Linked DNA regions of Ovis aries. The protein of the gene in region 2 binds, or shares a complex with, the protein of the main gene of each other region. Links are inferred from orthologs where the notes say so. Each region holds a gene or a part of one and is shown on either strand. Other genes may lie near its edges.

What was found.
Region 1: the proteins of RALGAPA2 (region 2) and NKIRAS1 are in contact, whole or in part, in a crystal structure (PDB 9QU1), measured with the Homo sapiens proteins. The link is inferred for Ovis aries from reciprocal best matches to the Homo sapiens genes RALGAPA2 and NKIRAS1. Residues at the interface, in NP_065076.2 of Homo sapiens: Pro20, Lys21, Tyr51, Ser52, Gln53, Phe56, Tyr59, Glu60, Ile63, Arg99, Phe102, Arg103, Trp104, His105, Tyr106, Gln107, Ser108, Lys185, Ile186, Tyr187, Pro188, Glu189; in NP_001364280.1 of Homo sapiens: Lys6, Glu22, Leu24, Leu25, Tyr26, Glu34, Met39, Glu40, Asp41, Val42, Tyr43, Met44, Ala45, Ser46, Val47, Glu48, Lys54, Gln56, His58, Tyr60, His74, Tyr75, Ser77, Phe78, Lys108, Thr162.

Annotation. Positions count from the first base shown.
Region 1 is NC_056079.1:41,396,372-41,400,148, reverse strand, and holds the end of NKIRAS1 (NF-kappa-B inhibitor-interacting Ras-like protein 1), read right to left. Parts: exon of another isoform or gene 1,319-3,777; coding exon 1,076-1,318; 3' UTR 775-1,075; downstream 1-774. UniProt on the Homo sapiens protein: Atypical Ras-like protein that acts as a potent regulator of NF-kappa-B activity by preventing the degradation of NF-kappa-B inhibitor beta (NFKBIB) by most signals, explaining why NFKBIB is more resistant to degradation.
Region 2 is NC_056066.1:39,733,876-39,738,236, reverse strand, and holds the start of RALGAPA2 (ral GTPase-activating protein subunit alpha-2), read left to right. Parts: upstream 1-1,383; 5' UTR 1,384-1,533; coding exon 1,534-1,639; intron 1,640-1,718; exon of another isoform or gene 1,719-4,361.

The DNA.
Region 1 (3,777 bases), on a different chromosome or scaffold from region 2:
CGATCCAGGGATTGAACCCAGGTCTCCCACATTACAGGTGGGTTCTTTACCATCTCAGCTTTAAGTAATTGTAAAAGTATTTATCTGTGTTTGGAAAAAAAAAAAAAAAACCTACAGGTTCAACACTCAGTAACTACGAGAGAAGGCAGGGAATGATTTAACCGTCTGAGTGATAGTTCTTTAACCAAAACAAGGTGATGAGAAATATTAATTATAAATCGGCCAGTGCTGCCAGCATGGAAGTTTTGTATCTTATATGCCGTAGTTCTTGCCTTGCAGTCACTTAACAGCCAACTGAGTTTAAATTCACTGAAGTTCATCATCTTGAAAGTATTCAAGATAACTACTGTTTACTAGACCTTTTAAATTACTATTTTGTTGTTGTTGGGCCACTTATCTCACATTTAAAACCAATAGTTAACTGCTTTCGTGGTTGAAATGACTGACTGGCTTGCTGCTTACTTCCAAGTAGTTAGGTAACTGTGACTTGTTCACAGTGGAAGCTTTACTAGTGTTTAGCAGCTTCCTAAAGAAGGAAGAACCAGTTTGAACGTATTTACACCTCCTACTCAATTCACGCTAAACAACCTCAACAAAGTTAAATCATACACTTTGTTCTGTTTTAGCAAGATCTCCACCAGATGAAGTTTAGCTTAACTCAGTACTCCAGTAGTTTACTGTCTGTGATCCAATCTGGACACATGTGAGGTGTCGTTTTAGAGCCCTAGACATGAGACGACGAGAAGTCTGCATAAAGTGACACAGGATGACCGCTTCTGAGAAAGGTTAAAGGTGAGTAGAGCTACTCAGTCACCTGCATACAGCCGGGCTTTATTCAAGTACAATGTGATGTAAATAGCACAGGTGCTCGATTCAGGGACAAGTTTCAAACAAGGAGGGTGCAAATGCATGATTTAAAATCAGGCAATACAACTTGGCCCGAGTAACTTGATGATAAGTGAAAGTGCATCAGAGGTTTCTTAGGAACCAAGGCAGGCGCAAACGGCCTGGCTTGAACACGTTCACAGACACCTAGAGACAGTCCCGACTGAAGGGCGCTGGCGCGCCTCAAGCTCTAGTTCTCCGCGCTCGAGTTGCCTTTGCTCTTCCTGCCGGGCAGAGGGAAGCTGGATTTGCTCTGGGGCTGCGAGAGCTTGCTGGCCAGCAGGGTGAAGGGCTCGATGAGGGTCTTGCGGTCGGTGACTGTCACCTCCCACAGGCGCACCTTCTCGCTCCTGGCCCACTGCTGGGCCACCTCGGCGTCCACCTGTCTCTGCTCCGAAAGGTCGATTTTGTTCCCTAGAACAACGATCGCCACCTGGAGGAGGGACGGAGGGGAAGGTCACACACTGCAGCGCCAGCTCCTAGACCAAACGGAGAAGGAAGACTGTGCCGTGTAACAAGCCGCTTTATCTGAGCTGCTTCTCAGACGTGACCTGCGTGGTAAGACGGCAGGGCAGCACCTCACCGCTTTCTTTGTGCATTTTGTTAAAAACAGGAATGCTCAACCGGCTGCTGTGAGACGCTGTAACCTGTGAAATAACCTGGGGTGTGAATGGAAGGGAGACGGGAGATTGCTGCCTGGGGTACAGATAACAGTCTGACTGGAGCGTGCCCGCGTTTCACTTTAGCTCTTACCTGCTGTCTGGGAAATGGGTGAGATGTCCTTGAAAACACAACAGGGCGCCCGGAGCCAGGAGAGGTCTGCACCCGGGGGAGCTGACTCTCCACTCACGTTCAAATCACAGCAAAGCGCCTGAGGCAGGCACTGAAGTACCTGCTGAGCGCGTGCCCCAACGGGAACACTGCGTTAAAGGCAGGGCGAGCGAGCCTTCTCTCAGTGGAACACTCGCCACGCTGGGCACACTCGGCCGACGCAGGCAGCAGTCACAGGGCAGCCAAAGCCGCGGGGAGGAAGCGGCATCCGGGTGTTGAGAGGCCCGCCAAGCTGACTCAAGCCGGAGGTGGGGAGGCGGCGGGGCCACAGCCCGGAGCCCCGGGCCGCCCCGCCTTCAGAGGCGCTCTGGCCGGCCTGTGACGCCTGCTTCTCAGCAGGAGCCGCCCTCCCGGCCGCTGCTACCCCCGCCCAGCTTCACCTGCGCCGATCCTTGTCGCCGGCTCTTCCCGACTGCAGAGGCGGCGCGCTTTGCCCGCAGACGCCCCCGCGGCCGGCGTCTGCACAGAGGCCTCCCCTGCGGCCAGTGGGACAGGCCCTGCCCTGCGGTGCCGGCGGGGAGGGGGTCCCCTCGGCTGCGCGCCGCCCCTGCCCCGTCCCCGCCGCTCTGCGGCCCCTGGTCACCCCACACGCCCCCCCCCCCCCCCGGCGGGATGCCTTCAGTCGGGCGGATGACCCGTCGGCACGCTTCAGAAGCCAGAAGCAAGTGTACTTCCACCACCGCACCTAACAGCCCTCCGCATCCTCTAAGCCCACGTGCACCCTCTGGATCAGGTGTCGCTCCACCAACCGTCCCCTCGCTGCTGCACCCCTCCGCTGCGCCATCCCGCACACAAACAACTGTCTCACCTGAGAAACCCTCCCAACATCCTTCTCCAGCCCCCGTCTCCCTCTGCGCTGTGTGCCAAGTCGTTTCAGTCCTGACTCTCTTGCGACCCCACGGACGGTAGCCTGCCAGGCTCCTCTGTCCATGGGGTTCTCCAGGCAAGAATGCTGCAGAGGGCTGCCATGTCCTTCTCCAGGGGATCTTCCCCACCCAGGGATCGAACCCGGGTCTCCTGCACTGGCAGGCGGGTTCTTGACTAGGTTCTTGCGCCCCTGGGAAGCCCTGCCCCGTCTATGGGACAGGACACCTACCCTCTGACTCCAGGCTCTTGAGCTGTTTGCTGTGCTCAGCTCCCTCACAGCCGGTCCAGCAGACTTTGAGGTGCTCCGCGTTTAAACACGACTTGACTTTGTTGATCTGCCTTCAGCATCTAACAGCCTGGTCACTCCCTCCTTTTTCAAGCGCCGACTTCACTTGCCTTCCGGTCTCTCTGCCCTCATCCCTTGTCTTGCTCCAGCTTCAGAGGCCACTTCCTGTGCAGACTCCTCCGCCGCGGTCTCAGCGCTAACCACTAAAGGTCAGTGTGCTTGAGAGCGAGCTATGGGACTAAACGCGGCTTCGCACCTTGTCCCCCACGGTCAGAGTCAGCATAGAGCGGTCAGTTTAAAACTAAGTCAAAAGGAAGTTCAACTTCCTTCACATGAAGGAAAAACGAAGCTACGAAGACACCCTTCACCTAGAAGAGGCACGAAATCCAGACATTTAGGCACAGGGTTGTCAAGACTGCACAACGGGCGCTTTCACTGTCTCCCTACAGCGGGCAACTCTGCACCGTCTTCACCCTCGACTCAAGCTCCTAACTTGTGCTGGTGGGTCTTCAACTATCTGCTAAAGTGCATGTGCAAAATAATAAAAGTCTAAGACTAGTCACTGTAGCATGGTTCATAACAGCACGTGACCCGAGGTGACCCGTGTCCAGCCACCGGAGGCTGGTTACATATGATACATCTATAGTCACGCAATGAATACGAGGCAAGCTTAAAAAAAAAAAAAAGGAATCCTGAGTCCTCCTAGGGAAGGACTCCAAGGTGTATTACATGAAAAATGCAAGGCGTAGAACCATAAGCCACCTCAGGCATAACAGAGAAGACTAAGAAAAAATATGTGCATTTCTATTTGCTTGTATTTATATGCAGAGACTGCAAGGGTGCCCCTCGACTAGGAAGGTGGGAAAATATTAAAAAACACACTTGGGTGCCAGAAATGGATGGCTGAG
Region 2 (4,361 bases):
AAGGGTTTGCCACTCCTTCCCTCACTGTGTGTTAGTCACACAGGCGGATCCAACTCTTTGGGACCCCGTGTACTGTAGCCCACCAGGTTTCTCTGACCATGGGATTCTCCAAGCAAGAATGCTGGATTGGATCGCCATGCCCTCCTCTAGGGGATCTTCCTGACCCAGGAACAGAACCCAGGACTCCTGCGTTGCAGGCAGATTTTTTTATACTACTGAGCCACAAGTGAAACCTCACTACCTGGTGTGAACTCAGAAGTCAAAACTTAGATGGTTTACATTGTAAAAGCTTTGAAAGTTGTTCTACTGTAATGTTTCTGCAGCCATGAAATTAAAAGACACTTACTCCTTGGAAGGAAAGTTATGACCAACCTAGACAGCATATTAAAAAGCTGAGACATTACTTTGCCAACAAAGGTCCGTCTAGTCAAGGCTGTGGTTTTTCCAGCAGTCATGTATGGATGTGAGAGTTGGACTGTGAAGAAGGCTGAGCGCCAAAGAATTGATGCTTTTGAACTGTGGTGTTGGAGAAGACTCTTGAGAGTCCCTTGGACTGCAAGGAGATCCAGCCAGTCCATCCTAAAGGAGATCAGTCCTGGGTGTTCTTTGGAAGGACTGATGCTAAAGCTGAAACCAATACTTTAGCCACCTCATGTGAAGAGTTGACTCATTGGAAAATACTCTGATGCTGGGAGGGACTGGGGGCAGGAGGAGAAGGGGATGACAGAGGATGAGATGGCTGGATGGCATCACTGACTCGATGGACGTGAATTTGAGTGAACTCTGGGAGTTGGTGATGGACAGGGAAGCCTGGCGTGCTGCAATTCATGGGGTCACAAAGAGTCGGACACGACTGAACGACTGAACTGAAGTGAACTGAATGTTTCTTGATTCACGCTGCAGTAGAGAGAACTGGGTGGGCGCACAGGCCGGAGACTGTAGGTACAGAAACCTGGGCCTCCAGGGGTAGGTAGAGGGTCGGGCAGATGCTGCACTCATCTGGAGAGGCGGTCTCAGGGGCTGGCCTACTGGAGAACTACATTTCCCAGGAGCACTGGTGGCCTGGCGAGCGAGGCACGCGCCCTGAGCGGGCGCACTGACTCCAATCGCGCGGAAAACACGCCAGCCTGATTGGAGGTCGCTGTCACGGAGCATCCCGGGGCTCGGAGGACAGCGTGCGCGCGGAGGCCACCTTCTTTGTGACTCGCGGCGCCGCTGGGGCCCGCCCCCCGGCGGGGCCGGATCGCACGCCCTTGCGCCGCGCCCGTGGCGGGGGCGGGGAGTGGTGGTGGCTGCCGGCGCCTCCCGCGGGGGCGGGGCGGCGGGTTTCGCGTCGACACCGCCTTCCTGCCCCGCCCCGCGCCGGCCCGGCCCCCGCCCCTCCTTCCTGGAGCCGGAGCTGGAGAGGCGGCGGCAGCGGCGCTGGCGGCTGCTGCCGGGCAGGGGGGGCGGCGAGCGGCCCGCGCGACACGCGCCGGCCCGACCCTCTGCTGTGATCTGCGCGGCGCAGGGGGTCCGGCTCCCTGCGGCGGGATGTTCTCCCGGAGGAGCCACGGGGATGTGAAGAAGTCCACCCAGAAGGTGCTGGACCCCAAGAAGGACGTGCTGACCCGCCTGAAGCACCTGCGGGCGCTGCTGGGTGAGGCGCGGCGCGGCCGAGGGCGCGCTCCTGCCGGGATCGGGCGGGGGTCGTCGGGCTGCGATACCGGGCCGGGGGAGCAGACCCTCCGCGTGGGTGCCGGCGTCCCCCTGAGTTGTAAACTTACCCCTCCTCCCCCGGGGCCTCGGAGCCGGGCTGCGGTGGGACGGTCCCCTCCCCAGCAAACCCTGGGGGTCGTCGCACGCACCCATCGAACTGTCATCTCCCCTCCCAGTTCCTAATTTTAATGTTTGAGTCCGAGACCCTAAGTGGTCCCAAGTGTGGTCCCAGCGCAGACTGAATTGAACTGTCATCTCCGGCCCCCCACCCCCACCCCCCACCCTGCCACTTTTAATTTTACTTTTTTTTGAGTCTGATCCTCCAGTAGACTGAGCCTCCGAATGGCCTCGGGATAAATTTAAGTGTCACCTCTCTTCCCGTGGATCTGGTTGATTCGGTTTCTTTGTGTCCATGGTGTGAAGGGGGCTCCTCGTGATTGCTAGGAGGGAGGGGTGACTTTCCTGGGTTCCAGGAGGCTGCTTATGCTTTATTGTCAAGATGACCCTGACGGTTTTGTGGCTTCTTGCGTTTTTGTGAGCCCATTGGGTGGAGGAACTGCAGACCCCAGGGTGGGCCTGCACTTGACCTGGGATGAAGCTCACCCCTGTGGGTGTCAAGTGTTCCCAAGGCCTCCGTTCACCTGCCACCTGTGATCTGTAGCCAGTTTGCTCCGCTGTTATTTGTTTTCTCTTCTACCTCCTTTAGTTTTAATTTTTGTTTAGAATGTAAACACCTTTACTGTCTATACTTCTCTTAGTGTATTTGGGGGCTATGAAAAAGATACTTTGTTTCTTCTAGATGTCTTTTTTTCTTCTTGAAAGGAGCAAAATCACCTGATTTAGGGCACAAAGTCTTGATGTGTCTGTCACTTGAGGAAAGAGCATAAGAGAATTCATTGTATCCGTGAGAATTTTAAATAAAGCTCTTGTTCATGAGATTAAAAGTTGCAAATGATTTCTATTTATACTGTGAAGTACCTCTAAGGAAGAAAAAGCCACACACCTAGTTTTGCCAAGTGAAGTTTTTCACATTCTCAGATTCCTTGAGATGCCACTGCCGGCTTGGTCAGTTTAGAATAAAATGTAAATTAGGTACTGTTAGAGGGATTAGCTTTCAAGACTTTTGAAAGTGAAATGCAGTCTTCTTGGTAAACTGAGCTTTCTACTTCCTGTACTGAAATACCAGGCACACACAGGTTGTATTGTGTGGGGCTCTTTAGTGACTGATTAACACCTACTGCAGGGACATTATTGATAATGGAGAGCAGAGCAAAGAGGTATTTTAAAGCAGTTGATGCTTGGGGACTTACTCTGTGGTAGAGAACTTGAATTTGTGTTCAGTCCAAGTGTACAGGATTAAGTTGGCTACATTTTACAAAGGCAGAATCCATTAAACCTAGATGTTGGGTTTCTTAGAGACACATAGTACCTTGTTACCGTTCTGAGAAAGTAATTAATTTTCAAGGCCCTGTGGTTTCACTTGAAAGTGTCTGATTTTGAGGAACTTTGTTTTGTCCTTTCATTGAGACATCTGACCTCAGTTTTGTATCCTGGAGGGGCCCTTTCATATTCCTTATGTATACTGTTGTTGTTGTTATTGTGGATTGGCTTGGTGTACTTCGTTTGTTACTGTAGTCTTTATTTGTAGGGGCTAGATTTTTGTGCACATGTCTGAGGCATTCTGATTCATACTGTTTAGTGTAAACTCTTGCCTACAACTGTGGGTTTAAAGGCTTTAAAGACAAATAGTACAGCAATGTGGTAGTCCCACCACATCACATACCCTATTGATTTGCTACTTTATGGAAAAGTCTACTTAGAAAAAAAGACCTTCTGATCTAAAAGCTAGGACTTAGCCAAGATCAAGAAACTATTTGAATCAGGATTGACATACACACACCCAGGTGGCTCAGTGGTAAAGGATCTGCCTGCCAATGCCGGAGACACAAGAGATGCAGGTTTGATCCCTGGGTTGGGAAGATCCCCTGGAGCAGGAAATGGCAACCCACTCCAGTTTTCTTGCCTGGAAAATCCCATGGACGGAGGATCCTGGCGAGGTACAGTCCTTGGGTTTGCAAAGAGTCAGACACAACTGAACACACACGAACATATATGCAAGATAGATTAACTAATAAGGACCTACTGTATAGCCCAGGAACTCTACTCAGTACACTGTAATGTCCTATATGGGAAAAGAATTTTAAAATTCTTTTGTATATGTATATGTATAGCTGATTCAGTTTGCTGTACAGCAGAAACTAATGCAACATTGTAAATCAACTATACTCCAATAAAAATTAAAAAAAATAGAAAAAGACCAGATTTGTGTTTACCAGAGGCAGGATGTTGGGGGGAGGGGCCGGGGGAGGGGGGAGATAATTGAATGAATGCAGTCAGAAAGTACGAACTTCCCGTAATAAAATAAATGACTAGGAATGTAACGTGCAATGTGGTGACTGTCGTTAACACTCCTGTATGTTATATATGAAAGTTGTTAAAAGAGTAAGTCTTAGGAATTCTCATCCGAAGAAAGAGCATTTTTCCTATTTCATTACTTTTTATCTCTCTGAGATGATGGGTGTTCACTGAACTTTCTGTGATAATCATTTTGTGGTCTATGTAAGTCGAATCATTATGTTGTACACCTTAAACTTACACAGTGC